Linked DNA regions of Rattus norvegicus. The protein of the gene in region 1 purifies or fractionates together with the protein of each later gene. This does not show direct contact. Links are inferred from orthologs where the notes say so. Each region holds a gene or a part of one and is shown on either strand. Other genes may lie near its edges. The genes, in order: Ppm1k, Bckdhb, Dbt and Bckdha.

What was found.
Region 2: the proteins of Ppm1k (region 1) and Bckdhb purify together in Homo sapiens (affinity purification with mass spectrometry; 3 studies listed by BioGRID and IntAct, counting the BioPlex papers as one, with this or other methods). This does not show direct contact. The link is inferred for Rattus norvegicus from reciprocal best matches to the Homo sapiens genes PPM1K and BCKDHB.
Region 3: the proteins of Ppm1k (region 1) and Dbt purify together in Homo sapiens (affinity purification with mass spectrometry; 4 studies listed by BioGRID and IntAct, counting the BioPlex papers as one, with this or other methods). This does not show direct contact. The link is inferred for Rattus norvegicus from reciprocal best matches to the Homo sapiens genes PPM1K and DBT.
Region 4: the proteins of Ppm1k (region 1) and Bckdha purify together in Homo sapiens (affinity purification with mass spectrometry; 4 studies listed by BioGRID and IntAct, counting the BioPlex papers as one, with this or other methods). This does not show direct contact. The link is inferred for Rattus norvegicus from reciprocal best matches to the Homo sapiens genes PPM1K and BCKDHA.

The regions. Positions count from the first base shown.
Region 1 is NC_086022.1:88,950,393-88,958,116, forward strand, and holds part of Ppm1k (protein phosphatase Mn(2+)-dependent 1K), read left to right. Parts: intron 1-785; 5' UTR 786-863; coding exon 864-1,303; intron 1,304-3,038; coding exon 3,039-3,139; intron 3,140-6,004; exon of another isoform or gene 6,005-6,104; coding exon of another isoform or gene 6,105-6,147; intron 6,148-7,724. UniProt on the Homo sapiens protein: Serine/threonine-protein phosphatase component of macronutrients metabolism.
Region 2 is NC_086026.1:93,767,472-93,775,195, forward strand, and holds part of Bckdhb (2-oxoisovalerate dehydrogenase subunit beta, mitochondrial precursor), read left to right. Parts: intron 1-3,341; coding exon 3,342-3,475; intron 3,476-3,703; coding exon 3,704-3,859; intron 3,860-6,271; coding exon 6,272-6,380; intron 6,381-7,724. UniProt on the Homo sapiens protein: Together with BCKDHA forms the heterotetrameric E1 subunit of the mitochondrial branched-chain alpha-ketoacid dehydrogenase (BCKD) complex.
Region 3 is NC_086020.1:207,191,797-207,198,705, forward strand, and holds the end of Dbt (lipoamide acyltransferase component of branched-chain alpha-keto acid dehydrogenase complex, mitochondrial), read left to right. Parts: coding exon 1-191; intron 192-311; coding exon 312-383; intron 384-1,879; coding exon 1,880-2,047; 3' UTR 2,048-3,732; downstream 3,733-6,909. UniProt on the Homo sapiens protein: The branched-chain alpha-keto dehydrogenase complex catalyzes the overall conversion of alpha-keto acids to acyl-CoA and CO(2).
Region 4 is NC_086019.1:90,268,878-90,276,601, reverse strand, and holds part of Bckdha (2-oxoisovalerate dehydrogenase subunit alpha, mitochondrial), read left to right. Parts: intron 1-1,688; coding exon 1,689-1,797; intron 1,798-6,300; coding exon 6,301-6,462; intron 6,463-7,724. UniProt on the Homo sapiens protein: Together with BCKDHB forms the heterotetrameric E1 subunit of the mitochondrial branched-chain alpha-ketoacid dehydrogenase (BCKD) complex.

The DNA.
Region 1 (7,724 bases):
GGAGAGGGAGAGTCAGTTTAACTGGGTGACTCTGGTAGGTCAACTGACCTCACACAAGAGAACTTGGGCAACTCGAACTGGAGTTGACGAGTTACCCCCTTTTTAAAGGGAGGAGGTAGGAAGTAGGGGTGTCTCTTGGAGGAGTTGGTCGGAAGAGTTAGGGTGAATATGACATACGTACACTGTATGAAATTCTTAATAGATAAAAATATTTAAGGCAAACTCTGATCTAAAATTGTGTGTTTGCTAAAGCTTAGCTGCTCTTAGAGTACAGAATTGTTACAAATATTCTATTAGTGAGCTTTTTTCTTATTCCCATCCTTAGGAGAGGTTGTTATTGCTAACATTTACATTATCTTTTCTTCAGAACAACTGTGTGGAGAAAGGATATTAACTTACAAAGCGTGGCCCGATCACCAGCACTTATGATCGCAGCTGATTAGGAGTGTACAATGTGACCTTACTTCAGACTAGCTGAATCAAAACGTTCATTTTAACCATGTCCCAATGTGATAGCAGGCTAAATGGGAGAAGCGTGTGTTTGTATGTGCATATTATCGAACATTTATCGAATTCAAACACTGTGAGGAGCGTAGGTAAATTTTTGATTCAATGTTCTTAAGACGAGGATGATGTAGGGTACCTAACACACACACACACACACACACACACACACACACACACACGTAATGTCAGTCTTTTTATGGCTTTTGTCTCTGGTGGCTGGGGATGTATTGGCAGTATTCTGAATTACTGACTGTGACTGTCTTTCCCCCCGCCTCTAGGTACATCCTTTTTCTTCAAGGAATTCTACTATTGCCCTATTTGTCTTTCCCTGTGACTGGGGCCTTTGGAGTTGCACTATGTTATCAACGGCCTTCATTACTTTGGTGAGAAGTGGTAGGAACCAGGTGAAGAAGAGAGTGTTGTTAAGCTCCATCCTCCTGCAGGACCACAGACAGATGACTCCTGCCTGCTACTGCTCCATTTCGGAGCCCAGGTGTTCTCGGTTTGATCCGGACGGAAGTGGGCAGCCAGCCACTTGGGACAATTTTGGGATCTGGGATAACCGCATTGATGAGCCAATTCTGTTGCCACCTAGCATCAAGTATGGCAAGCCAATTCCCAAAATTAGCCTGGAGAACGTGGGCTGTGCCTCCCTCATTGGCAAACGAAAAGAAAACGAAGATCGATTTGGGTTCGCACAGTTGACAGAAGAGGTGCTATACTTTGCAGTCTATGATGGGCATGGAGGCCCTGCAGCTGCTGACTTCTGTCACACACACATGGAAAAATGTGTTACGTAGGTATAATCCTCTTGGCTTTGAAGTTCCTCTGGGCTTTCTGTTGAAATGTTCTCCCTTTGTTGGAAACGTTCAGTATGGACCAAATTACTTGAGTGACCACAGGCCACTTCGTCAGTGAGTAGTAGTCAACATAGCATCTAGAACTGGTGGTTATCTCCAGAAATGCATTTCCGAATCTACAGCCTTAGATTTATATCCATTTCAAGTAAATTATAAAGTACAAAGATAACTTGTGGGAAATTTTACTTGTGTGCATGTGTCTGTGTGTGCGTGTGTAGGCCAGTGGGTAACATCAGTGTCTTCTTGTATCATTCTCCACCTTACCTTTTGAGATAGAGTCTCTTAAAGAACCTGTAGCTCAGTGTTTTGGCTAGACGATGAGCCCACCCCTGGGGTTCTATGTAAAGACATGCATTGTCTTCTTATGGGAGCTAGGGATCTGAATGAAGGTCTTCATGTTTGTACAGCAAATACTTTACACATAGAGATATCCCCCTAGTCCTGAAGAAGAGTTTAATCAGCACAGGTAGGTTTACTTATTGTCTTAGTTATTTTTCATAAAGAGACCTGGTGACCAAGGCAACTTATAAAAGAAAGTTTACTGGAGGCTTGCTTACAGTTTCAAAAGAAAGTCTATGACCATAGTGGGGAATATGGTGACAGGTAGGCAAGCATGGTGTTGGAGAATGGTGTGGGTTTTTGAAGTCTCACAACCTACCTAGTGACACACCTCATCCACATCAAGGCCACACTTAATCCTTTCCAAACAGTTCCACCAAGTTGGGACCAAGCATTCAAATGTATGAACCTGGAGAGCTATTCTCACTCAAGTCAACATACTTAACTATATTATTGAGGACCACAATATTGTTAGAATTAGAGAAAGGAGACAGTGTGGCAGTTACAGTCATGAACTTTTTTTAACATGTTATTTATTTTGTGTGAGTACACTGTCGCTGTCTTCAGATACACCAGAAGAAGGCATCAGATTACGTTACAGATGGTTGTGAGCCAAGTGGCTGCTGTGAATTGAACTCAGGACCTCTAGAAGAGCAGTCAGTGCTCTTAACCACTGAGCCATCTCTCCAGCCCAAGAATTCTTTAAGACTAGGGACTTTGGGGTTGTGAGATGGCTCAGAGGATAAGATACCTATCACCAAGCCTGAATTCAAGCTTGGCTTGACTCACATAATAATAGATGAAGAGATCTACCTGAAAGAAGTTGTCTGCTAGCCTCCACACACATCACAGCATGAAAACATACAAAATGAATAAGGAGGGTTTTGGAGTTGGTTGTTTTCTCTACTTATTTTGCATGTGAGGCAAAGCCCCTACCGCTTGACTGTGTCTTCAGAAAGACTTGTTTATTTGTTTTGAGATAGAGTCACATAATCCCAGACTATGCTAAACCTGATTGTGACAAACAAGGATGTCCTTGAGCTTTTCGTGTGTGTGTGTGTGTGTGTGTGTGTGTGTGTGTGTGTGTGTATGCATGCATGAAGCCAAGCACCAGAGTATAATGGCCTGATCCTCAGTCCAAGAGTATCACAGTTCAGTTCATCATACTTAGTACCTTCCAAGATCAATAAATCTTTCTGGATCCTTAGATCTTCAGTGAAAGCACCCGAGAGGAAAGCTGTGAGGTCTGTTGTATGACTTGACTGATGCAAGATTGACTGTGGAAAGAGAAACCTACTTCAAAATGATTGGTTTTCTTTCCTCTCCACAAAGGGATTTGCTTCCTCGGGAGAAAGACTTGGAAACTGTCCTGACCTTGGCCTTTCTAGAAATAGATAAAGCCTTTTCAAGTTATGCCCACCTGTCTGCTGATGGTAAGTGAGCCATGGCATTCCTCAGAGCTTTGAGGGTTGACACGTCAAGACAAAAAATGTAGGCCTTTAGTGGCAGGAGTTTTTGTAGAAATAGTTTTATACAAAGAATCATTTTTTTCTTTTTCTTTTTTTTTTTTTTACAAAGAATCATTTTTAAATGCTGCTTAGAATCTGAACTAAATAATAATTATAATAATTAACAATAATATGTTTCACTTTTATGTTCAAACCCTTGTAGAAGGGAAAGCTCCAAAATGGTTGTTACTGAATTTTAATTTTAAAAAGATTTTTAAATGTTTCAATCTATTTGATTTGTAATTTTATGGACAAGATGTCCATACTAAGAGAATCCCATCCACCACCACCTCACCACGAATGAAACTACTACAGGACAATTACATCCGATAGGTTGATAATCACTCAGCATTACTGTAAGAAATAGGGGATCAGAGAGATGGTTCAGTGGGTAAAGACATCTACCACCAAGCCTCATCACCTGAATTCTATTCCCAGGGTTCACAAGGTGAAAGGAGAGAAACAATTTCCATATATTGGCTTCCAACCTTCACACATGTGCTGTGCTCGTTCATACATACACTTAGTGAAGACATATTCATGCACACACAAAGTAAATAATTTGCGGGAGAAAGAGATGTTAGCAATCGGTCCTAAGTATGATAGAAAGTGGCTAATTGGCATCCATTTGTATAGTCAGAAGAGAATATTTGTCTTCTGTTTTTCAGGCTTGCAACGTTCCTGTGGTAACTAGCTATATCTTTGTTTTTGTTGGGTATAAACAAGGCAGGACATGGCAGGTGGATTTAAAAGTTTGTGTACTGTGTATAAGGTTTAAAAATTAATGTTTCTAGTTTCAGGAAAATATGTCCAGGATTTTTCAGTTAGCTCACCAAAAATGTCTTTCTATTAATGTTAACTTTCAAAGCTTCTGCAGCCACCATCCAATGTATGCCTCCTAAGGCATGGGGCTGTGTGGGAATGTTGATCGTAGCTAGTTCTGTCTTTACCTTTAATAAGAAAAGTGCGCCACAGAAACACCATTCAGTTGGATGGAAATTCTCTCCATTTCACTCACAGATTAGGGCCGTGTTCATTTGCATATTTAATAGCAAGAGCTCTCTACCACTGAGCTTCACCTCCAGCCCCTTCCTGTTTGCTGAGACCTTACCATCACACTCCCCAGGAACACCTTATAACCAATCCACTCTTTCTCCATATTGTAGAGATAAAGTTTTCACTTGGTGGATTATTTGAAACTATTTTGTCTTCTTCTTCTGACACCACTCGCCTTAAAGTTCCTCTCTGCCTCTTTAAAGAGGAGTTAACAGAGGGTGAGGTTTATGCTCAAAATTTAACTTTTGCTCTAACACATGAAGAAGAAGTGAAACGCTTTCTCAGTTTTACTTTAAGGGGGTAGGTTGGGGCAAGGTTCAGTAAGCAGCCCAGGCTGGCTTAAAACTGTGTAATCCCAGCTGGCTTCAAACTCACAGAGAAAAGTGCATACTGTTACAACTAGCATTTTCCTAACAACAGTGGTTATGCTGTGTTCTTATCCACTGCTAGGTTGGCTGTGAATTTGACTGCATCATCACTGCACTGTGGGCTGTAGTGTCAGTATTATGCCCTAGCTATTGTACAGATAGCGGTGTTTACTGCCTATGAATTATAGAATACAGTAATCAAGAACATTGGCACGTGACCAACACTAAGATTTATTAACCCTACATATGGGCAAACAAGCTTTGTAAAAATTGATCTAATCAATGTTGGTGATTAAAATCATCAATACTAGCCTTGGTGTCAAATTTTAAAACACTTATCTTTAGTCATTGAATTTATAACATTTAACATGTGTATCTTAATGAGACTCTCTGACTCACATGATCAAACAGCTAAATAAAGAACTAAAGTATCATTTATTTCTAATAGTAAAATTAGGTTAGACTGCTTAATTTAGTTCCCCTGTCACACTTTGGGATAATCTCAGAACTAAATGAAGATGTCTTAAGACTTACTCTGCTTCTTAATGGTCATTTGCTGCAAAGTATGAGAGAAAACAAGATAGGGCAGTGTATGGTAATGCTATGTTTAAAAAGTGTTTTAACAGTTCTGCTGTGCACTGTGTGTGTGCATATTTCTGCTTTTTAAAAATCAGAGTTTTGGGGACTATTTTAAAGATTATCTGTGCAGATCTTCCAGATGGCATTAGGAAACTATTTATCAAGCATATTAAAGTTACTGAAGATAGGAAACTATATGCTAGCCTTTCAGGATTGGAGTGAAAGAATTCGTTCTATCTCTTACGGTTTCAAAGTTATCCAAATTTAAGAAATGTAAAATTTTAACTGAAATACTGAAGCACTATCAATATTTTAAAAGTAGATAGTACTCTTTTGGTGTGTGTGTGTGTGTGTGTGTGTGTGTGTGCGCGCGCGCGCACATGCACGCACAGACATGTGTTTATGTTGGGGGAGCAGTGTTTCAGAGTCATGGGTAGCTAGCATACATTTTATAGGACCACAGTTACCCTCTCTACTTCCTGTCTTTTCTCATTTCTTTACATCTGCCTTACTTTCACTTCTGTTGAGCCCTTCCTGTAAAGGAGTGCGGATTCCTTTTTTAACAGACCTCATGCATACAGTCTAGACGAGTGTTCTACCACTGAGCTAAGTCTCCAACCTTTTTGGCATCACCTTCAAGATGTTTAAATTTGATTTATGTCACACATCTTTCATGTCTGATGAAGCCAAGTAATTAGTTAATATACCATCACTTTATTTCTTACAAATAGACACTTAACAAAGTGGATGGTGGGAACCTCAGATCATAATGCAATCTACCCTATAGGTACTTGACGCGTGCTGTGCTTGTGCTTGGAAAGCAGCACCGCTCCTCAGGATGACATCAGGAGGAGGAGAACTGCTCAGACTCAGAGTGGGCGCTATCGATGGGCACGCTGTGTGGGAGCCTCAAATTCTGTGTTCTTTTTTGTAGGTAACTAAACTCCCAACATAACAAGAGCTATAAAGGCAAATTTGCTTTCTGTGCTGGGATTGAACCCAGGACTATGGGCTTGCTAGGCAAGTGCTTTGCCACTGAACTGTACCTATAGCTGGGCACAGTATTTTTGAATGCTCCTCTTATGCTGGAGGTCACCAGATGTGAACAGCCTTGAGGAGTTGTTCTTACTGTGTTGTGAACTGCTTCAGGTTGTTTATTTCATTTTAGTGTTCATGAATCATACATGTTAAGAACACCCATTTCTAATAAATAGTTCAGCAATATTAATATTGGCTGATATGGATTATTATTTACACAGCTTAATAATCACTGGGGGGGGTGATGTTAGATTTTTTTCTTTCTGTTGCTGTTCAAATTGTGATTACTTTTCTTCTCTTCTATTGACCTACAACACTGAGGAAAAAGAGAGAAAGAACAGCAGAAATACTTAGGATTACATAAATATATAAATATGTATTATCAGTCAAGATCCACACTGCCTACCTGTGAACAGCAAATTTAAGTTGTCCAACTGGATAAAGTTCTCCGTGCTAAATTGCTGTCTTACTGTGAGCAAATATGCTGTGAACAAATGCCTTATGTCCTGTTTCTGGCATAGGAGCTGCTTTCCTTCTCTGTCCTTCTCTGTGTCTATTGAAACCCTAGTCAGCTAATATATACTATAGTTCACATACACTCTCTATGTACTACTTAACAAATATAAATGATTTTGTTTAGGGGGATGGTTCTAATATTGCTACAAACTAAATCTATAATGTATTTTTTCTGCCTCAATTAAAATACTGATTTTCCTGTGTTTGAGACCAGCTATTATGTGTGTGTGTGTTTGTGTGTGTGTGCGCACGTGCGCATGCACACGTGCACATGCACACATGCATGCGTCTGCACACACGCAGATGCATGTCAGTGTCACCACTGGTCTCATTTCTTACAGATGCATATGTTCATACCTTTTTCTCTCTCTTGGAATGATCAATAATTATTAACTCTAAGCTACTGAGTTTTGAATTCATTGACTTGGCAGCTCCTGGAATATTATGTGACTTGCTCGTGTAGTCTTCACCAATAGAAACCCTTTCCTTATTTTGCAGCTCTTTCTCTGCTCTCCCTTGTGTTGCAGGTTTGTTATGTCTGAGCGTAATTTCCGGGTGAAATTCCCGTTTGCCTCTGTGCGTGTTATTTGTGGCAGAGAACTAGACCAGGAGCCTGTGGACGCTCTATGCCGGGCTTCAGTGGAAAGAGAGATCTGCTTAATTTTGTCTCAGCTGAAGGAGTCCACAGTTCCTAGTCTGAACTACTGGAAGGGTCCCGCGTCCTCCTTGTCCCGTTAGTTGAGATGACTTGCAGAAGAAATTCTCCAGTGAGTGTCAAGGCTCAGTGAAAGAAGTCATAGTTTTATAGTTTTGTTGCTAGGAGGCAGAAAGTGAGAATTTTTACTTCTAAGTTAATGAAAATATAGCCAGAAGCAATGCTTCCTCTTAACACTTTCCCCATATATCCTCAGATTTTGAAACTGTGAAGGTGAGTTGAGAAAACCCCAAACACT
Region 2 (7,724 bases), on another chromosome or scaffold:
GAGATTCATTCATTTCTTTTATATTTTCCAATTTAAGGGGATATGATTTTTGTTTGTTTGTTTTGTTTTTAGACAGGGTCCCAATTCATAACTCTAGCTGGCCTGAGACTTGCTGTGTAGACCATATTGGCCTTGAGCTCACAAAGATCTGCTTCCACCTCCTTTATGCTGGCATTAAAGGTTTCTGTGACCATGCCTAGCTAATGGGCTGTTTTGTTTTTTTTTTTAAGCTTTATTTATTTTATGAGTACATGTAGCTGTCTTCAGACACACCAGAAGAGGGCATCAGATCGCCATTACAGATGGTTGTGAGCCACCATGTGGTTGCTGGGAATTGAACTCAGGATCTCTGGAACGCAGTCAGTGCTCTTAACCGCTGAGCCATCTCTCCAGCCCCCTAATGGGCTGTTTTAAGGTTTGTCATACTTTTCTGAATTTCCTTGGCATGTGCCATAATTTCTACCCTTTTTTGGGTTGGTTTATTTAAGGATATGGCTACTTTATTTACATTATCCAAGAACCAACTCTTGGTTCTTTGATTCCTCTTTTTTTCTCTTTCTTTCACTTTATTAATTTCTGTCTTTCTACTGATTTTTTTCTTGTTTTTGGTTTCTCAGGGACATCATTTAGTTATCTGAGATTTCTCTGATTTTTTTTTTTTCTTTTGGTAGACACTTGTAGCTAGAAGGTTCTACCCTTGGAACTGATTTCTTGATTTAATTGTATCCCATAGGTTTGATCTGTTGTGTTTTCCATTTTATTAACTTCTAGGGAGTTTTGGATTTCCCTCTTACTTCCTTTGGTGACCTACTCATCATTCAATAGTGTTCCTTAAACTCCATGAAGTTGCCCTTACTTAAAGAGACTAGGATTCCATACTCTTGACTTCTCTTTAGTGGGTACAGGAGAAATTTCTGCTGAGCTCTTTTAACTCCCAGAGGTTATTTTCTAATGAGTGTTTAGTAGAGGGCTGTACAGGTCCAGGCGTCAGTGATAACATGCTGGTCTGTGCCAAAATGGGACATACTTTCTTGTTAATGGACACATCCGCCTCAGGTTCTGCTCTTTGGCACCCATTAGTTTAGTCTGTCTGCATTCTGGTGGTCTCTGAATGAGAGTGGAGAGTCCCTTGGGGTAAGCCTCATGACTGTGATCATTTGTTCCGTGTCTCTCAAGGTTCAGGTGTTCAGTCAATGCCCACTTTTAGCTTTCCAGTGCCTCTGAACCTGATCACTTCTCGTCTGGAATTTTAAGTAGAGGAGGGTTAGTTTGTAAGAAGCAACTCTGCAGTCTACTTCAGTAGTTCAACAAGTGGAGACACAGAGTTCAGTTACGCAATTCAAACAGTTTTCTCATTTCTAGTTTTTTTTTTTTTCACTTTTGAGCTATGTATTATAGACATGCATTTAGTAAGCCATCTAACAGTCATCTAGCACAAACTTTACCTCTCCTTTTTCTCCTCTCCTCCTTCCTTTTCCTTTCCTTCTGTGGCTGTGATTGAACAGTGTGATAGAAGTAACTTGAGGCAGAAAGGGTTTGCTTTGGCTCACAGCTCAGCGGGACTGTCTGTTGTAGTGGGGAAGACATGACAGTAGGCGGAGAAGGCGCGGTGCCAGGAGTTGGGGTGTGGGCGGAGGAGGAGGGTGACTAGTCAGGTTGCATTGAAACTCAAGTAGAGAGAAACTAGGAAGTGGGGACGGACTTCACAGCCTTAAAGCTTGTCATCAGTAACCTGTTTCCTTCAGAAAGGCTCCACCTCCTAAAGGTTTCACATTCTTGACTAGCTCCGGTGGGAGTGGGGTCGGGTGATGGTGTTTAAACATATGAGCCTATACTTGGATATTTTACAATAAACAACAATAAAATAATCAGCTTGCTTTCTCGGTCCCTCTCCCTCCCCACCCACCCACCCCCTCACCCTCCCTTGGTCCTCCCACCCTTCCCCCTCCCACCTCCCCCTCTTTTCCCCTCGCCTCCCCTCCCCTCCCTTCCACTGAGCTACCACTGAGCTCTACAGGTCCAAATATAGATTTCCTTATTGTTACTAATTCCTAGTATAATCCTACCATGGCCAGAAAACATACTCAGAATGGATCTTATAAATAATTTGTGTTATTGGATATATTTCTTTATTTACATTTCAAATGTTATTCCCTTTCCTGGTTTCCTGTCCATAAGTCCCCTATCCCCTCCCCCTCCCCCATAAGGATGTTCCCCTCCATCCACCCCCCTCCCTGACATTCCCCTGCACTGGGGGTCCAACCTTGGCAGGACCCAGGGCTTCCCCTTCCACTGGTGCTCTTACTAGGCTATTCATTGCTACGTATGCAGTTGGAGCCCAGGGTCAGTCCATGTATAGTCTTTGGGTAGTGGCTTAGTCCCTGGAAGCTCTGGTTGGTTGGCATTGTAAAATAATTTTAATGAGTTTGTAATTTGACCATTTCAGATATATGTGCATAGTGCATTCTACTTACTCTCCCCTCGCCTTTCTCTCGGCTTCCTCCCACCACTTCCCCCAACAAGTCACTTTCCCACGTTCAAGTCTTCTGTTTTGAGGCTTGCTGCATTCGACTTTACTCTCTACACAGTCGCTGAGATAGGTCGATAGCCCAGCCTATGGTTGGCCCATCCCTGTTAGTATTAGTATTCCTGGAGTGAGTGCTGTAGGTGACATACTGCGTGTGTCAGTTAAGTCACATATTTATTGTGTTATATGAATATTTTTAAAGCCCCTTTCTTTTGGGGGTGGTAGTTTTTTCTGTTGTTGCCCAGATAGTATCTCAAAAGATCCCGTGCTGACTTACGCACTCGCCTGTGTTCTAAGTTAGTTACGGCAGTCGTTCCGTTCTGCTGGGCGCTCATTGTCGCATGTCTTCTGAAGTCTTCTGAGGCCCACCCTTTGACAGTAGGAATGTGCCTTACCGTCTCACCCTTTGACCGTACGAATGGTGCCTTACCGTCTCACCCTTTGACAGTAGGAATGTGCCTTACCGACTCTGGCAGTGTCCTCCTCTTGATGTCTGCTGTTGGTCGAGTGATGTCAACGTCCTTCTGTGTAGTTTACGCTTTACACTTTTCCCATCAGATACCTGGGTTTTGCCTTTCAGACAGTCTCAGTGTGGCAGTCTTTCTTTACTTGGTTTGTGTAGGTTTCTTATGTTTAATTATTTAATAAAGTTATGTACTGAAAGCAGCTGTTTTGCTGTTTATTATTTCCTCTACCTGTCCCATTTTTCTTCATCACACTTACTTTCAGACACATATTGCATAGCTTTAATTTGGGGCATTTCTTTCGTTTGGTATTTATACTCCTATTTATTTATTTAATCTTTTTTTTAAAGGAAAAGACAGAGTGTTTAACACCCCGTTGTGTGAACAAGGAATTGTTGGGTTTGGCATTGGAATCGCGGTCACTGGTGCTACAGCTATTGCGGAAATCCAGTTTGCCGACTATATTTTCCCTGCCTTTGATCAGGTAGGTTGCTTGATGCTTTGCTGGGAAGGGTATCTCTTCCGGCCAGCCTCCAGTGTTCAGACTCGGGCCCCTCCCACTCAGCCCTGCCCCTCCTTTAGCAATCGTTGTCTATTTGTGCTCTGCAGTTCGCATTTTATAGTGGGAATGCATTTGAAGACCCAACGTCATGCTTTTGGGGCATGCATTAGGCAGGAAAGAGTCACGGTGGCATGTCCCTTTTCTCTGCAGATTGTCAACGAAGCTGCCAAGTATCGATACCGCTCTGGCGATCTTTTCAACTGTGGGAGCCTCACCATCCGGGCCCCTTGGGGCTGTGTGGGCCATGGGGCTCTTTACCATTCTCAGAGTCCTGAAGCCTTTTTTGCCCATTGCCCAGGAATCAAGGTACCCTTGTTTACTTTCTTTATTTGATCATTATTAGTTGTATCCACCGTTGCTCATGCTGTCAGTATTAACCAACAAGGGGACTTTGGAATTGATATCAACTTAACTATATTTGAGACAGGGAGGTTAGCATTTCTTTTTAAATTAACTTGCTGATGCCCAGTTTTCTAGAATGTTCCTCCTGAAGCAGCACTGGCGTGATGTTGGCATTAATTAACTGCATAGGTGCTGAAGAATATGCCATTCTCCCAGAGTTCTAGTTTCTTCTTTCAAATGGGTTTTCCTTGTTTAGGTGATTTTGAGGTACCTTTAATAAAACTTGTTTTATTACTTCAAATTCGTGTTTGCTTTTAGCGCAGTTTTCAGTTTCTGAACAGCTGGAGAGAAGGCTGTTGTCTAGATATGAATCTTCTGTTCTAGAATAAAGTAGCATTGCTCAGTCCATTTGCAAGAGTCTCCTGTTTGAAACTGGCACTTGTAATAGCTTTTAAGTTTTTTTGGATGTCACAAACATTTTGAGTGTTTTGTCTCTTGATAGTCACCAAACAGCTTTCCAGGGAATCACAGAAACGCACAGATGTTTAGCAGAGAGGCATGCTTGCTTTTGACAACACACAGACCAGTTGTAAAAATGTTTACATCCCCCCCCCCTTTTTTTTCTCTGCTGGATCAGAAGAATAAGGGTTGTCTCAGTGGAATGGAGTCTGTATGCTTTTCTGATACAAGCCAGCAGGGGTAGTTTGGGACAAGAGCCGCTTTGATGCAACACTTGTTTTTGAGTTTGGGCTGGATGTTAATCATATTTAGCGTTTGTACCATATCCTAGAGTTTTAAACAACAGAACTTTTCGTCTTCCGTTGTATTTTCTATTTTTTATTTTTAAACTTGAAATACACACACATCCTCGCATGCACGCACGCATGCACGCACACACTTACTCTAAAAGGGTAATAAAAATAACTCTTATGAAGAAAGCAAGGGCTGGAGATCTGGCTTAGTGGTTAAGAGCAGTAATTGTTCTCGAAGAAGATCGGAGTTGGACCCCAGCACCCACGGGGTGACTTACAACCGTTTGTGTAACTCAAATTCTAGGGTGTCTGATACCTTCTGGCCTCTGTAGACACTGCACATTGTGGTATAAAGACATATATACAAGCACAACACTCATGTACAGAAAATGAAAATAAATTTTATGGCAGGACAGTGGTGGTACACACCTTTAGTCCCAGTGCTTGGGAGGCAGAGGCAGGTGGATCTCCGTGAGTTTGAGACCAGCCTGGCCTACAGGGAGACTTCCAAGTTCTAGGACAGCCAAGGCTACAAAGAGAAACCCTGTTGGGAAAAACAACAACAACAACAACAAAACGAAAACAGAAAGAAAGGAAGAAAGACAGACAGACACACTAACGAATAGAAGCGTGAAGGCATTGTGTTAGATATGGTTAGTAGAGAGATTTATGCTTTTTTATTTTTAAACAAAATTCTTTTAATAAAAATAACACAATTCCTTCAAGGCAGTAAGATTAAAAGTGTGAGGTCAGCCTGGTCTACCTAGTATGGCTTTCTCTGAAGCAGATCAAGGGCTGGGGGTGTCGCTCAGTGGAGAGCACTTGCCTAGTATGTGCAAGCTAAGGACTTCCAGATCCACAAACCAAACCAAACCAAACAAAAACCACAATAATGTGTTTGAAATCCAAAGGTAGTTTGCTTCAAGGAGTCTTCTGTGATCTTCGTAGGAGGTTCATGCTTATTCTAATAATCCTTCCAATCTCAAGTTTGTTCTTATTTATTTTATAATCATGAGAATTTAGATGCGAGTTTATGATTTGATGGCCAAGAGTGTGGTCTCCAGTTTGTATCTGGAGAGAGTAAGGATCTCTGTCCTAGTAGGCTGTGTGACCCTGGGCAGTGCCTTTACCTCTCTGTATGCTCCAGTCTCTATCTCTAAGTGGACCAAGAGTAGTAGCTGCTTCCTGAGGTCCCTGTGAAGGAGAGATGAAATGACCCACACAGAGTGCTTCGACAAGTTATCTCATGCACTCCTCCTGTCAACCGTCCTCCTCCTCATTCCTAGAGATCTTGGAGCCCTTTCCTGTCCACCGGAGATGTGGAATGGCCATGCTTCTCTCTACTCTGAGCAATTCGTAGGACATAGAGTTCAGTGTGTTGCTTTTTCACTTAGGAGTGCAGGTTGCGTTTGCCCGTTAGGACAAAGGGATCGTGGTACTGTACATTGGTGAGCGGTAGCTGCCTGTCAGTTTAGAAATGCTTATCTGAGGGGCAAGGTGTACATTTTATAGTAAATACAAATACCCATTCTCTAGTTGAATTAGTTACACCCGATTGGTTAACTATCAACCTTAGGAGTGGATTTAATGGGATGTGTTTTATTAAAATCGTTTGTTTTTACAGGTGGTTATACCCAGAAGCCCTTTCCAGGCCAAGGGACTTCTGTTGTCATGCATAGAAGATAAAAATCCATGTATATTTTTTGAACCTAAGATACTTTACCGGGCAGCAGGTAAAGATTCCTTGTATTTTCTCTTTGTGATTATCCTTACATTCTTTTACATAGTTATTTTTTTAAAAACCTTTCTCCCCTAACCTTGAATTCCACTTTCCTTATAGATTGAGTTCTGTGATACTTCATTTTGTCCTCAGATGTAAACATTAGGGAAAAACACATCTAGTTAGATTTTGACTGCAGGATGTAAAATGTTAACGAGAATACATGGTCATGCTTAGCTCTGTCTGGTTCTGTGGGTTGGAGGAGAAAGCGAAGGTTCTTGTTGGACTTCATGACATTGAAAGTCTGCTTTAGATAAGTGACCCCAGGCCCTCTAGGCTGGGCTCTGGTGAGGCAGGTACTGTTAACGGTGTGCTATGGTACTGGGCTCCCCTGGGGGTCTGTCTGCACTACACCAAGATGCCTGGTTGCCTTTTCTTTAGCTCACAATCCCAATTCCATAAACACACATCTGTGACTGCTTATTGCTCAGCTGTAATGGAAAATTTAAATATCAAATGATTTATTCTATCTAAAGTGTATCCTCCCACACCCTGAATTCAAGAACATTACTCTGGCAAATCACTTTTGAACATTTAAATCTGAAGCCACATGTTTTTGTTATGATGTAATTTATATACAGGAAAACACACAACTATTGGGTTCGGTTTGATGGGTTTCTGACAGCCACATACATCCACGTAGCCACTGCACAAAACCAGGTGCAGGACATTTCTTCGCTCCTGTAAGCCTTCCCCCCTTCTTTTCTTCCTGCTCGTCTCTTCTCTCAGCTCTAAGCTTTCCGATTGCGATTAGGTTAGCTGCTCCTGTTTATTTTAGATTAGCTGGGCTTTGTGGAAATGGAGTCTCCCGTATATTGTTCGTCTTCTTTTGCCCAATCTAGTGTCACAGAGATTCATCCGTGTTGTCACCTGCGTCTAGGTGTATTGCTGTGTCACAGCCTGTTGTGAGAAGAGTGACTGCTCATTATTATTGCAGTCGTGATAATTCTGCACAGTCGTGCACGGTGTTAGGGCATTACTCAGAGCGAACATGCCTGTCAGTCGTCGGAGTAGTTGTTCGTCATTGTTACCGAGTATTTCCATTATTGTAAGAAAAACTGTTTCTAAATAAGGAAAGGAGGTTACTTCTCTCTTGGCAAACTTCTGGCCTTTAAATATTATAAATATATCACACTTCTACTTCTAGTACCTGACTTCTAGGGGTTAATTAGGAAGTGCATCTCGGTTATAAAGAAAAAAGTACTTAAAAATCTAAGGCATACGGGGGTTGGGGATTTAGCTCAGCGGTAGAGCGCTTGCCTAGAGAATGCAAGGCCCTGGGTTCCATCCCCAGCTC
Region 3 (6,909 bases), on another chromosome or scaffold:
CCTCTCACAACATTGGGATAGCCATGGATACCGAGCGGGGGTTAATTGTCCCCAACGTGAAGAACGTTCAGGTGCGCTCTGTATTTGAGATCGCCATGGAACTGAACCGCCTCCAGAAACTGGGCTCTTTGGGTCAGCTCAGTACCACAGACCTCACGGGAGGGACATTCACTCTTTCCAACATTGGATCAGTAAGTCATGCTCGGCACAGTTAGAAGTGTAACTTTAATTGCCGATCCCATGTTCCAGTAAATTACAACGTGTAATCTATCAGGCATTCCCTGAAAGCTACATTTTCTCATTCTTCTCAGATTGGTGGAACCTATGCCAAGCCAGTGATATTGCCACCTGAAGTAGCCATTGGCGCCCTGGGAGCCATTAAGGTATGTGTAGTGAGGAGCTGCAGGAAGGAGACTTGGATTGAAGGTTATCTCCCACTTTGTGAAGGTTAGCTCAGTACACCCATTCCTCCCTTCTCTTGAACTAGGTCAGAGGTCACCGTGCAGCTCCAGCTGGCACAGATTCTGGGTCCTCCTGCCCCACTATTCACCTGCTGGGACTACAGGTCTATCCTACCATGCCTGGCAAGGGGCTGATTTCTTGGAAGGCACTTCTACTTTGAACGATAATCTAGATGGCTTAAAAAAAAAAGATCTGTGGCCATGTTTTAGGACTCTTGAATAGGAGTATAGGGATAAGACACTGTGTGTGTGTGTGTGTGTGTGTGTGTGTAATGTAGAGGTAATTAAGGAATCAGTTATCCTTCTACCATGTGCCTTCTAAGGTTCAGACTCAGGTAATGAACGTGGCCTGGCAGCAATCACCATTATCTGTTGAGCCATCTTGCCAGGCCTGTCTATTAAATCTAATAAGTTAGAACTTACATTTTGTATATTTCTTATTTATTAATAGCCGAGGGTTTTTGCTGTGTGTGTGTGTGTCTGTGTGTCTGTGTGTGCATGAACGTGTGCCATGCCCTCATGTGCTCAGAGGCTAAAGCGTGTGGGTGTTCCCCTCTGTCACTCTGCACCTGTGACCCATTCCTTTGACCCATGATCTCTTGCTGAACCTAGAGCTTGAGATTTTTGACTGGGTTGGCAGCCAGCAAGCCTGAGCCGCCCTTCTGTCTCCTCCTGCCCCGTGCTGGGGTCACAGGTGTGTGGGGCCACACCCAGGTTACTGCGTAGGTGCTGGGATCTGAAGGCTAATCCTCAGTCTGGCTCAGGAACTGTTCTTAGCTGCTAAGCTGCACCCTTCCCATGGCTCCTATGTGCATTTTGCTTTTTTATCGTTTGCTTCTTGATACCACAGATGGAACTTGTTCATGCCGGGCAAAAACCCTTCAATGCGCTACTCCCAGAGCCCGCGTGTATGCTTCTCGGGATAGCCCAGCCTGGCTTGGGTTTTCGTTTGAAGCTGGAGAGACCCCGCCTTTCCTGACATGTTGTCTGTCACCTGCTGTGGCAGTGGTCACGCCTCCCGCCGTAGTCATCAGACTGCTTTCTATTCCTCTCACACCCCCATCCGGCCCTTGCTGCCTTCTGTAAGGAGTCCAAGAGTTTCCTTGTCTCGGTTCTCTTTTCTGTAAGAGAGTCATAGCGCACGGAGATTAATCACTGTTAACTATTTGAACTCTGGGTGAAATTTAATGTAAATATTATATGTGAGGCGGGAGATCTCTTGAAAACATTAAAGCTTAGGCTATGACCTCCCAAGGCTGGGGCAATAGGAGGCAGCACTTGCAGAAGCCCGGGCGGACGCCCCCTGGTCAGCAGGGAGGGCTGTGTTCTAAACCGAATACCACTGTTGTCAGACCTTCCTTCCACTGTGACTGACGAAAGTTTACCCATGTTTACTTCTTGTTCTCCATTATTTCTAGGCTCTTCCCCGATTTGACCAGAAAGGGGATGTTTACAAAGCCCAGATAATGAATGTGAGCTGGTCAGCAGATCACAGGGTCATTGACGGCGCCACCATGTCACGATTCTCTAACTTGTGGAAATCCTACTTAGAAAACCCAGCGTTCATGCTGCTGGATCTGAAATAACGGCGAACCAGACATCCTTGAACTTTTCGCACTTCCAAAGAGTATGTCAGGCCCGGCTGAGCCAGCACCGACTCTTGTTACAGTTGCATTAGAGGTGGCTTGTGCTGCCTTGGTAGGGCTCTAACGCACAGGATTTATCACTGACGTATTAGGCTTTCTGCTGAAAAGGAGCGGAGGGTAACGGTTCTCCTGGGGTATCACACTGTGTAGGTCACGAGGGGGCTTCCCACTATGGTGCTGAGATCATTGGGTCAGTGAGTTGAAACAAGCAACAAAACAAAATCGACATCACTCAATGTCACTAATAATGTCACTCAATGGTGAATAGCAGTGCAGATGCTGCACTTGCTCTCTTTTTAATTTGTGACTGATTTTTTAATGAAACTTTTAAATTATAATTAATCGGGGAAAGGAATTTATATACAAATATGTTTTCATTTCCCAACAATCAAGGCGACTGCCCTATAAAATAAGTGGAATTATGTTTATTTCTGCAGCTAATGAGACATATACTCTTGCCTTATGTGTAAACTATCATCTATAAATGTCTTATAGCTATAAATTAGGATTTGTTAAAAGGGGAAGTTATAATTTGGTCTTAATTATAGTTTACAACCAAAAAGGCTGTTAAAAGTAAATGTTTAAAATGGATAGACTTCTAGAGCTGTAGAAATGCTTTGGCATCTTGCTGGGAAATACTTGACTTTGCAAACTCACTTTGTGATGTAAAATACCATAAATACAGCATCACTGGCTATTTTTCTCTTACTACTTACCGATTTATTGCCTTTTGATTTCATTGATCTTCAGCTAAACATGAGAAAAGGACTTGGAATCTGTTCTGTTCTCCCGTCCCTCAGTAGGAGCATGAATAAGAAGAGTCAAATGGGAAATTATGGGCACACAATTAGTTTATACAGAAATGCTACTTTAATCCGATAGCGTCAGGATGAATCGAATTCAAGGCTGAGCAAACCTTTATTCCCAGCACTTGAGAAGCAAAGACAAGTGGATCTCTGTGAGTTTGAGGCCAGCCTGCTCTACCGAGTAAGTTCTCAGACAGCCAGAGGTACATAGAGAGACCCTGTATTAAAAAAAAAAAAATCAAATAAAATCAAATTCAGTATTTTGAAATCTAGGTTTGGGGTTTTTTCTTCTAATATTATCTAATTAAATATATCATGACAATATCGCTTATTTAAATGAAAGTTTTGTGGCAGAAGAAAAACGGGTCATTTTAATGCCTACTTGATTTTTTCCCAAAATGGAATTATGTTATAAATTTAGTGAGTACTGTTTGGTTAGAAATTCACATCACGAAACCCATTGTTTTCACATAAAGAAAATTAAGAAAAGAGAACCAATTCAGAACAGGCATTGTGTCCGTAGGCCTGTAATCCCCATACCTGGGAGGGAGGCAAAGGCAAGAAGGACCATGGCAGGAGGCCATTTTAGGTCATGTAGTGAGACTTTGTTGGAAGAAGGAGAAACTATAGATAGCAAGGAGAGTAGCACACTGCTATCTATAATCTAAACATTATTAACATGATATATGTGTCTGTATACATATATAAGTATTCCTTTATAAAAATGAAATAATATATCTACTATTTTACAATTTGATTTTTTAAAATTTATCCTTATGGATGTCTTTATATGCCAATAAACAGTTCCACATTATCATACTCTGTGTGCCTTATAGTAGTTCGCTCTGTGTGTGTGTGTGTGTGTGTGTGTGTGTGTGTATTTACTGTTTGGTTGGGGGGGCATGTATGCCACAGTGAGTCTATGAAGATCCAAGGATAACCCATGGGGGTTGCTTCCCTCCTTCCACCAGCAGCCTCTTCCTGATGAGCCATCTCAGGGGCCCACACAGTCAGTTCCTACTGTGGTGGTTGCGTGTCAGTGTGTCTCCCCAAAAGCCTGTGTTGGTGTCAGCTTTAGCTGCCCTCTGCAGATCTGTCTGCAGTGTCTGGGATTTGAGGATATTAGAGAGCGTGTGGACTTCAGTTGAATGCTGCAGACAGCTTTACCTTCAGTGTGCTTTTATACACAGATAGAACAAAGCAGTGATCCAAGTAAGATTTGAGTTTAAAAAAACATGTGAATAAACACGAGCAAACGCATGCTAAATATTGACAGAGCAGCCTTTTCCAGACCTCTCTCAGGACAGACCGATATGAACACAGTTGCCTGGCACATGCTGTAGATTCTATCTGAGGAAGCACAGAAGCGGCCGAGGTCACGTCCGCTCAGGGCACACTGAGGGCATGGCCTTTGACTAGGTCGGGTGCTAGAGCTGTTTTGACATCCAATGAGAATGAACACGGCTTATAAATTGAGACAAATGTTCGTTGCAGGTGGCACGGAATCGTGTCCAAGAACAATCCAGGGAACAAAATTCACTGGAGGTAAAAGGTTCTCTGCCATTGTTTACTGTCTGTCATTCTCTGACCCCATTGTGACATGTTAGTAACGTAATCCCAGAGGCAAAGCGTTGGCAGGTCAGATGCTTAAGTCATGAGGCACCACCTTTGTGAATGGATTAGCACAGGTTGTAGGACTTGAAGCTGTTTGCTTCCTCTCCTGTGATGCCTTCCACCGAGCTGTGATGCAGCAGAGAGGCCCTCACCAGATGTGGCCACTGGCACTTGAGTTTCCCAGACTTCTTAGACTGTGGAGTAAATCTTTGTTCTTTAAAAGTTACCCAGTCTTGAGGGCTGGAGAGATGGCTGAGTAGTTAAGAGCACTGGCTGCTCTTCCAGAGGTCCTGAGTTCAATTCCCAGCAACCACATGGTGGCTCACAACCATCTATAACGAGATCTGGTGCCCTCTTCTGGTGTGTCTGAAAACAGCTGCAGTGTACTCACATACATAAAATAAATAAAATTAAAAAAAAAAAAAAAGAGTTACCCAGTCTCAACTGCTTTGTTATAGCAACCCCAAACAGATGGCTGTGTTCCTTTTCTACACTTGCTTTTTTAAAGATTTATTTATTCTCACAAGGCCCTGGGTTCGGTCCCCAGCTCCGAAAAAAAAAAGGGGGGGGAAGATTTATTTATTCTATGTATGAGTACACTGTAGCTGTCTTCAGACACACCAGAAGAAGGCATCAGATCTCATTACAGGTGGCTGTGAGCCATCATGTGTTTGCTGGAATTTGAACTCAGGACCTCTGGAAGAACAGTCAGTGCTCCTAACCTCTGAATCATCTCTCCAGCCCTACGCATGCTTTTTGAAAACCTAAGATTAGGTCATTGCATCCTTACTCAACTCTAATCCAACTTGACAAACCATCTGACCCCAAATCAAGATCTACTCTACCCCGGATTAAAAATCCTCCAGTCAAGTTCTTGGCAGATCTTTTTGCATGTGTACTTCTTTTGTGGAATCCTAGTCAGTAAATAAATAAATAAAATAAAAATGGAGAGAGTCCATTGATAAGTGGCTATTAGCCCAAATGCTTGAATTACCCTAGAACACATGAAACTCAAGACGGATGATCAAAATGTGAATGCTTCACTCCTTCTTTAAAAGGAGAACAAGAATACCCTTGGCAGGGAATAAGGAGGCAAAGATTAAAACAGACACAGAAGGAACACCCATTCAGAGCCTGCCCCACATGTGGCCCATACATATACAGCCATCCAATTAGACAAGATGGATGAAGCAAAGAAGTGCAGGCCGACAGGAGCCGGATGTAGATCGCTCCTGAGAGACACAGCCAGAATACAGCAAACACAGAGGCGAATGCCAGCAGCAAACCACTGAACTGAGAACAGGACCCCCGTTGAAGGAATCAGAGAAAGAACTGGAAGAGCTTTAAGGGGCTCGAGACCCCATATGTACAACAATGCCAAGCAACCAGAGCTTCCAGGGACTAAGCCACTACCCAAAGACTATACATGGACTGACCCTGGACTCTGACCTCATAGGTAGCAATGAATAGCCTAATAAGAGCACCAGTGGAAGGGGAAGCCCTTGGTCCTGCTAAGACTGAACCCCCAGTGAAGGTGATTGTTGGGGGTAGGATGGTAATGGGGGGAGGATGGGGAGGGGAACACCCGTATAGAAGGGGAGGGGGGGCTAGGGGGATGTTGGCCTGGAAACCGGGAAAGGGAATAATATTCGAAATGAAAATAAGAAATACTCAAGTTAATAAAAAAAAAATGGAGAGAGTCCAAAGAAAACCACAAAGGCCAGCTGAAGCACGACGTGAGCACACAGCTCTGGTATGGAGGCCTCTATATCAGGCTCACGCAATGCCGTGTGGAATGCTGTAACTCAAAGCACGGGCAACAGCTGTCACTGGTGCTGAGAAGAGAGGGGAGAAAGGGAACGAGAGCAAGTGGACATCAAGAATTTAGGTTCTAAAAGCAACTAAAAAGAAAATAATCAGAAAACAAGTAACAGGTTATACACGGGGGAAGCTGGGCAAAGGTAGGAAGGGGGTTCGCTGGTACTGGGGAGGTTGAGGCGGTCTCCTTCTAATGGTTAGCATGGGTGGCCTCCATCACCCGTCCCTCAAGTGAGTACTGTTACACCAGCTGCAAACTGTTTAACTTGAGGTTTGCTTCAGTACGTTTCCACAATAGGTCTAAAATATGGTACGTCCAGAAAGACCAAGACTATGAGAAGGAATTGCAGGAACGTCATTGCGTGAATGGTATCTGCAGGGCAGCGTGCTCTCTCAACCACTGAGCCGTCACTCCAGCTCCCAAAGGCGTCATTTTAAAAGCACCGACTGTGTCATTCTTACATGTTTTGTGTATATTATACGTGAGCATAAGAGCCAGGCTTGCAGGCTTGCACCCACGGTCCTGGCTGTGTCGGAGGCTGAGGGAAATGAATCCTTTGAGCT
Region 4 (7,724 bases), on another chromosome or scaffold:
GCCTCTGTAGAGCCAGCTTTCTTGGGCAGTCCCTGAGTGCCGTCTGTCAGTGTTCATCCTAGCTGCCAGAGAGACTAGCCTTACTTGTCCCTTCTGGGTATCTCTTGCATGTGGCAGAATGGGTGCTTTGGTAACAGGAGGCAGGGAGGACTTGGAGGACAGACCCCAAGGTTGGGGTGCATCTCAGGCTCACCCACACACTGACTGAACTTGACAGCCATGAGGCCCTCCCTCCATACCCAGTACCCGCCCACCCACTTGGCACCAGAAAGTCAATTAAGTTTTAATTGGCTCCCTACTTACAGAAAGCCCGTTCTCATCACTTTCCCATGCTGCTGGGAAGAGGGTTCCAGGAGCAGGAGCTCCACAGAGGTGGGCAGTCCTGAGGGGCAGCTTGGGGAGAGCTCTTTCGTATGATCTTGGGTGATCTGGATCTCCTCACACACCAGGGCTTCCCCAGCTCTCCAGCCACACCTCCATCCTGGCGGCCTAGACCAGTTGGCCTCATCTCGGCTCATACCCCATGCTAGACAGCCTGTCCAGACTTGACCTGCGTGCCCTCCTCCTCTAACCGTTTCTTCCAGTGCCCTTCTCACCTACCCTGGCCCCCAAGTCTCACCTGCTGTCTGCCATCCCCCTGCCTGCCTTCTCTCTGTTTCCTGATGTTCCCTTAGGAGTTGGTGGGCAGCTACAGCACTGTTGGGCACCCACCCTGTCCCTCTGCCTCGTCCTCTATGGCAGATTGGCCCTTGCTCTGTGCCTGTTGCCTCATGCTCACAGGATGGCTTCTACAGGTCCAGGCATCCTGGCTCTTGAGTGAGGCAGGAAGGACATGGGGGTGGTGCCAGCAAGCATCTCCCTTATGCAGAATAGCAAATTCTATTAAAGCCTGCGACTAAAACTGTCCCTGACCAATCACCTCTGGCTGGCAAGGGGGACTGGGAAGCCCAATGATTTTCCCGGCCCAGGGATAGAGAGGCCAAGTGGGCACGGATGGTCACTCTCTGAGCTAGTAATTCAGCTTTTGAGGACTCATTCATCTGTCCTTCTTTCTGTGTCCCTGGCTCCCAGACCAGGGCACCCTCTCTCTTGGCACTATAGTCTTTCCTGTTTGCCATCCCTTCCCCGCAGAGCCACCTGAGGTGATTCCAAGACCCAGGCATGGCTGCAGAACCTCTGCAGAGAGATCTGGAGCACAGTGCGATGCACCTCTCTCCCCTCACCTCACTTGATTGACCTCGTGGCCCTCTGGCCTCGTGTCTTTCCTTGTTCTTCTGTCTAGGCCTTCCACCCACCCACCCTGCCTTTGCCCAGTGCAGCAGGTTATCTCCACACCTGACTGCCTGGGCTTACTTTAAGGTCTTGACACTCGTCTCTCACTGTCCAGCAGGAGCTCCTCGAACCCAGCCCAGCACAGTGATGGCCACAGTGGTGACTGATCATTACAAGACTGGCAAGGGCTGGGTAGCTGGGTGCGACAGCATGCCCCTCTAACTCTAGCACCCAGGAAGCAGAGGCAGGCAGATCTCTGTGAGTTGGAGGCCAGCTGGGTGTACTTTGTGAGTCAGGGTATCTAGGGCTATAGAGAGACCCTGTCTCTAAGAGTAAAACAAACAAAAAAGTAAGGCAGGGTTCTCTGTGAAGGACAGCCTTAACCAAGCCTGGGCTTCTGGCCCTCTACCCCCTAGGGCCGGATCTCCTTCTACATGACCAACTATGGCGAGGAGGGGACACATGTGGGGAGTGCCGCTGCCCTGGAGCGAACGGACCTGGTGTTTGGCCAGTACCGGGAGGCAGGTATGTCTGTTGGTAGTTTGCTCTGGGGTCTCCATTGAGCTCCACAGCATGGTACTGTGAAGGCCTTGGGAGCCCAAGAAGCAGCATTGAAAGCGTTGAGGCTGTGACAAGGCAGATCTCTCTACAAAGTGTGGGATGGTACCTCTTGCAAAGAAGGTTGGCTCACAGCCCTCTCTGAACTACCACCACCTTCCCATCTCCAAGGTGGCAATAAGGAGGCACCTGAATTGAACCTGAACTGAATTGAGCTGCTGGAAGGACCCTTGGGAATCAGGCCTGGCTGAGGGCATGGCATGCTCCGTGGACACCTGTTTACCCAGGGCAGGGCATTCTGCACTCTTCTGAGGTGCATGTTCCCCAGGAAGCAGAAGCTGCGGGAAGCTCCTGAGCTTCTTGGCAAGGGAGAGGGGTACGGAGGAAAGCAGGGAGCAGAAAATAAGGCAAGAATCTTGGAGAGCTAGGGACGTGACCTGGCAGCATAGCTCCTGACTATCAGTGAGGGCTGGGGGAGAGGCCTGCTGAGCCGGGAGATGTGTTTTTTGGGGTCTGGAGAGGAAGGTGCCCCTGGCAGTACCAGCCAGGCAGATCCTGAGCCTTGTTGGCCTGCCACATCTTAGGCAAGTTACTTGGTCATGCTGTCCTCTATAAGGAGGTGGTAGCACCAGCTGGCTGCTGAAAAGTCACAGGCAGTTGGCATAAAGCTAGCACAAGGCTTGGAGTTAGAGGCCCTCGTCATTGGAGCCAGGGACCACTTTTCAGAAGTGGGGCTGGCCAAGGTGACTACAGAGACCTCCTTGGATGAGCTAGGCATCCAGTCCACAGCCAGACCGGCTCCTGACTCCTCTTGTACTGGGCCGGGACATAAGTCTGCGACAGTTGAGGCATCAGCAAGGAAAGCCAGGTTTCCAAAGCACTGGGGACCCATAAGCTCTTGTCTGTATGGAGGCGACAGTACAGGAAGAGGACTGAGGCCACCCTACTTCACGTTGGGAGGTGGAAAAGACTGGCACAATAGCATGTGCTTGTAAACCCAGTTCTCAGGGAGCTGAGGCAGGAAGACTGCAAGTTTGAGGCCAGCCTGGGCTACATAGCAAGAATCTGTCCTTAAAAACAGCAAACCCAAAGAACAAGGCACTGTGCCGTGAGGAGATGAGAGGTCTTCATAGCGGCAGGCGACCGGTCTGCCTGGTCTCTGACTGCGTCAGAGCTCCTTGTCCAGTCCCCTGCTGCAGAGTGTGGGCACTTTGGAGCTGGTTTGGGTGGCTTGTGGAGGTCCTTGTCGCAGCCAGTGAGGCAGTTGTCCTTGTTAGTTGTGAAAGCCAAGCAATCATCAGGGAGAATGAGGTTCTGGGATCCAGGCCATCTATCTGCCTCCCAAGGAGCAGGGCTAGTGAATACTCTTCACTAAAGTCTGCCCCAGTCACTGCCCTCTCTGTCACTCTGGCTGCCCTCCCATGACCATATTGGCCATTTCCAACTGGGGTGGTGACAGGGTGTGGTGTTTGTTCAGGACTGTGAAGCAGCAGCAGGTGCTGAAGCAAAGCGATTCCCATGGGACCTGCCGCTTCCTGGTGCAGGTTAGATCTGCCTGGGTGCCGTGCGCAGCCAAGGCTGTCGGATTTGTTTATGTTTGGCGGTGGTGGAGATGGAACCTAGGACCACATATGAGGCAAGCACTTACCACAGATCCCACCCCAGCCTGGGACTGTGTGTGTGAGCACCTTCTTCCTGTCCCTTCCTGGTGACTGTCGTGTACAAGCCCCAGCGCCTGGGCCTTGTGAGTTTCTGGGAAGTCTCAAAGCAGGAGCTCCCCGTCCTCTGCCAGAGCCCCTGCTCCATCGTTGCCTATGCAGTGTAGCAAGGCCTTTTTGAATTTATTGTGCCCATCCAAAGTCATCTGGCAGATGACTATGAAGGCCAAGGCGTGGTGGCATGTATGGAAGCAGAGGCAGGAGAGTTGCCACAATTTCAAGGCCAGCCTGGCCTACGTATGTAGAAGGTCCAGGCCCACTGGGTATGGTGGTGCATACCTTTAATCCCAGCAGCTGAGAGGTAGAGGCAGCAGATCTCTTTGAAGTCAGCCTGATCTACATAGTGAGCTCCAGGACAGCCAGGGCACCAAGTGGGACCTGTCTTAAGAGACAAACAAGCTGCTTATCATGTGACCCTATTGCCTTGTTTTTTGTTGTTACTGTTTTGAGACAAGGTCTCACTATGTAGCCAGGGCTGGTCTGGAACTAGCTTTGTAGACCAAGCTGTCATTGAATTCACCTGCCTGCCTCCCAAGTCTCATTAACTTCTCATATGAAGAACAACTCTGCAGTAGAGGCTTGGGAACAGACAGACAGCTGCTTCAGAGTGAGCTCATGCTCTGGGAGACCACGGGGGCCATGAAGATGCTTCTGGGTGAGTTCAGGCTCTGCTGGACTATAGGACATCATGACCCACAGCGTTTGCCCAGGGCTGTGCACTGTGTCCCCTTTCAGTGATGCTGAGAGAGCCCCAGCGTGTCCTGAAGCAATCACAGACCCTCCAGTGCTCTGGCTTAAGTCACCTTTCGATGTCGATCTGACATCATCCGGCAGAGCCTTTTCTCCAATTAATTAACTAACTAACTATATCCCAGTATCATCCTCCCCTCCCCTTCATCTCTGAGAAGAGGGAGATCATCGCCCCAGAGTATCACCCCACCTTGGCACATCAGGTCACTGCAGGACTAGGCACATCCTCTCTCACTGAGGCCAGACAAGGCAGCCCAGTTAGTGAACAGGATCCACAGACAGGCAGCAGACTCATGTCAGCCCTGATGCTAGTTGTTGGGGGCTGCATGAAGACCAAGCTGCATATATGCAACATGTGTGCAGGTTAGTTGTCTCTGTTGGTTTTCCTATGGAGTCCCTGTCCCCTTTGGATCCCTCAGTCTTTCCTCTGACTCTTCCACAGGACTCTCTGAGCTCCATCCAGTGTTTGGCTCTGGGTGTCTTCATCTGTCTCAGTCAGGGTAGAGCCTCTCGGAGGACAACCATGCTATGCTTCTGTCTGCAAACACAGCAGAGCACCTTTGCTAGTATCAGGGATTAGTTCTTGCCTAAGGGATGCATCTCAATTTGGGCCAGGCATTTCTTGGCCATGCCCCCCCTGCCCCCCCCCGCCTCCCCCCCACCTCCTCTCCATCTTTGTCCCTGCATATCTTGTGGGCATGACACATTTTGGGTCAGGTTTTGTGAGTGGGTTTGTGACCTTACCACTCCACTGTGAATCCACTTCAGGGTCCATATCTCCTACTACTAGGAGATTCAGCTAGAGTCACCCTCCTACACTCCCTGGGGCCTCCTCCCCTCTGGCACAGCTCTCTGGCATGTTCTAGAGGCCTCCCTCAGGACTTTTATTTGAAGAAAAGGTTTTATTTCTATGAGTAGATGGAGGTGGATTAGTTCAAGACACAAAACTCACAATTTCTCATTGGGACAAAAGCCTTGGGCTGGGGCTCTATCAGTGGTAGAATATTTGCTGGCATGCCTGTCTGAGGTTCTGGGTTCCATGTCTAGCACTATGAAAAGGAAGGGAAAGGGGGATGCTGACACCCTCAAAGGAAGGAGAGCCACGTCCCCTCAGCGTTGTGGCCCATGGGCCACTGGATGGCTCCCTGTATCTGTGAGCACAGGGGCAGGCACATATGGACTTAGACAGCGGCTCACTGCGCGTTGCGACCAGGCTAGCCTTAAACTCTCTGAGATCTGCCTGTCTCTGATTCAAGTGCTGGGATTAAAGGCTTGAGCCACCATGCCTGGCCCGTGAGTTATGAAGAAAAAAGAGAAAAAGAAAACAACATGAAGGCTGAAGGAAAATGGAGGATGTTCTCAAAAGAGTTGGAGGTGGGGATCAGGGTGAGGGTGGGGACATGGGCATGACCTAAGCATCTCATGGTCGTGGATGAAATCTGAAAAGCCACATATCGAGTGACAGTTTGATGGATCTTCTCTCACTGACCATGGACCTTGAAGGCTGAAAACAAGATTTTTACAAAGAAGACCTCACCTGCCATTTTCTGTGCAGGGCAGCCCTGTCATACGCAAAGTTCAAAGTTCAGTTACACCTCTTAAAGACTAGTGTGGGATGATGGCTAACATATAAACCATTCACCCTTGCTGAGTTACCAAGGGTTATCTGGGCCAAACAAGTCTCTCCTGAGATCGGTCTATCTGTGGACCTGCCTGTCCTTGTAACCCCCTGAGTCTGCCTACCTTCTACCGTCTGACTCTTAGCTTTCTTTTAATCCAAGGCATCATCTTGTTACATAGCCCTGGCTTCAGCTTGCAATCCTGCTGCCTTAGCCTCCAGAGTGCTGGGCTCAAAGGCCTGCCCTACCACCCTGACCTGGCTACTGCCTTCGAGGTGGAAGCTCGGGGAGGAAGGGACTGGTTCTAGGTTGTGCACAGGGTTGGCCTGGCGCTCCTCCCCACTGCACTGCTTCTCGGACTCACAGTCACCTCCTCCTGCCAGGTGTGCTCATGTACCGGGACTACCCGCTGGAGCTGTTCATGGCCCAGTGCTACGGCAACGTGAGTGACCCAGGCAAGGGACGCCAGATGCCCGTTCACTACGGCTGCAAGGAGCGTCACTTCGTCACCATTTCCTCTCCACTGGCTACGCAGATCCCTCAGGGTGAGGACATGTACTCTGAACCTCATGCATGCCATACCTGTGGCATAGCTCTCTGTGGGCCTGGGCTTCCAGCCTGCTAGTTGAGTAGTGCCGTTAGAGCCTGGCCTATACACAGGGCCTCTCAGAGACGGCTCCGTGGTATCCCACCCCATCAACCAGCCTTGGGTCATCATGACCATACTGACCTTCCCAGACTGCTCCTGCCCAAGCCAGCATGGTCAGGCATTGTGTCCTTGCCACACTCAAAACTGTCTAAGAACACTGGTGGTGGTTGTGGGTGAGCCTGGCATGTATCATTATCCCTGTTACCAAGAACGGGAAGTTGAAGCTGAAGCAGGAAGTGACCTACCAGGGAGGAGGGCAGGAAGTCACTCATGGGTACCTGTGACTGCAGAGACCACATTCTACCCTGCCCTGGCTAGCCTTGGTCTTCAGAGCCAAGTACACTCCCCAGAGCTGGGCTGCTCTGAGGCTCCTGCATACCACAGAGACTGCCAGGATGCTGGGCCTGTGCCCACACAGCACACAGACCAGGAGTGGCTCTCTTGTGTCCTCCTGGGCCCAGAATCTGATGGAAGGCATGTGTCTCAGTATAGCCTGGCTGTTGAGCCAATCCCGGTGTGTGGCTTGTGTGTGTGCAGACTTCCTGGGAGAATGGTGGGAAGCAGAGCTCTGTTTGTTGTGGTACACCAGAGTCCTTTATTCGGCAGATGTATGCAGTGGCCACTATATGCCTACAGTCACCCTAGGCTTTCCAAAAAAGAGAGACACATGTCAGCCCTGTTGATACTGACATTGGCTTGGGTGAGAGCAATGGGGAAGAGACAGTACCTGGAGTGCTTTGTACAGGCGATAGGAAAGGCAGCACAGAGCCATGTCCTGGGGGCAGAGGCAGAGGCAGAGGCATCACAGGTGACTAAAGGAAGTAGTGTGGACCAGTCGGGGGGGAGGGGTGCTGGGCAGGCGAGGCCTAGTGGCCTTTCCTACTGCAGGGACTTTGGTCCACAGTGGCCTGAGAGCCCAGAGTTAGGAAGAGTCTGCCAGACTCACACTGTAAGAGTTCCCTGGTAGGAGTTGGGGATTTAGCTCAGTGGTAGAGCGCTTGCCTAGGAAGCGCAAGGCCCTGGGTTCGGTCCCCAGCTCCGGAAAAAAAAGAACAAAAAAAAAAAAAAAAAAAAAAGAGTTCCCTGGCTATCCCTTGGATGACAGATTAAGGGTCAGTGGGCTACTCAGTAACTAGGATATGAGGTGCTGGTGGCCTG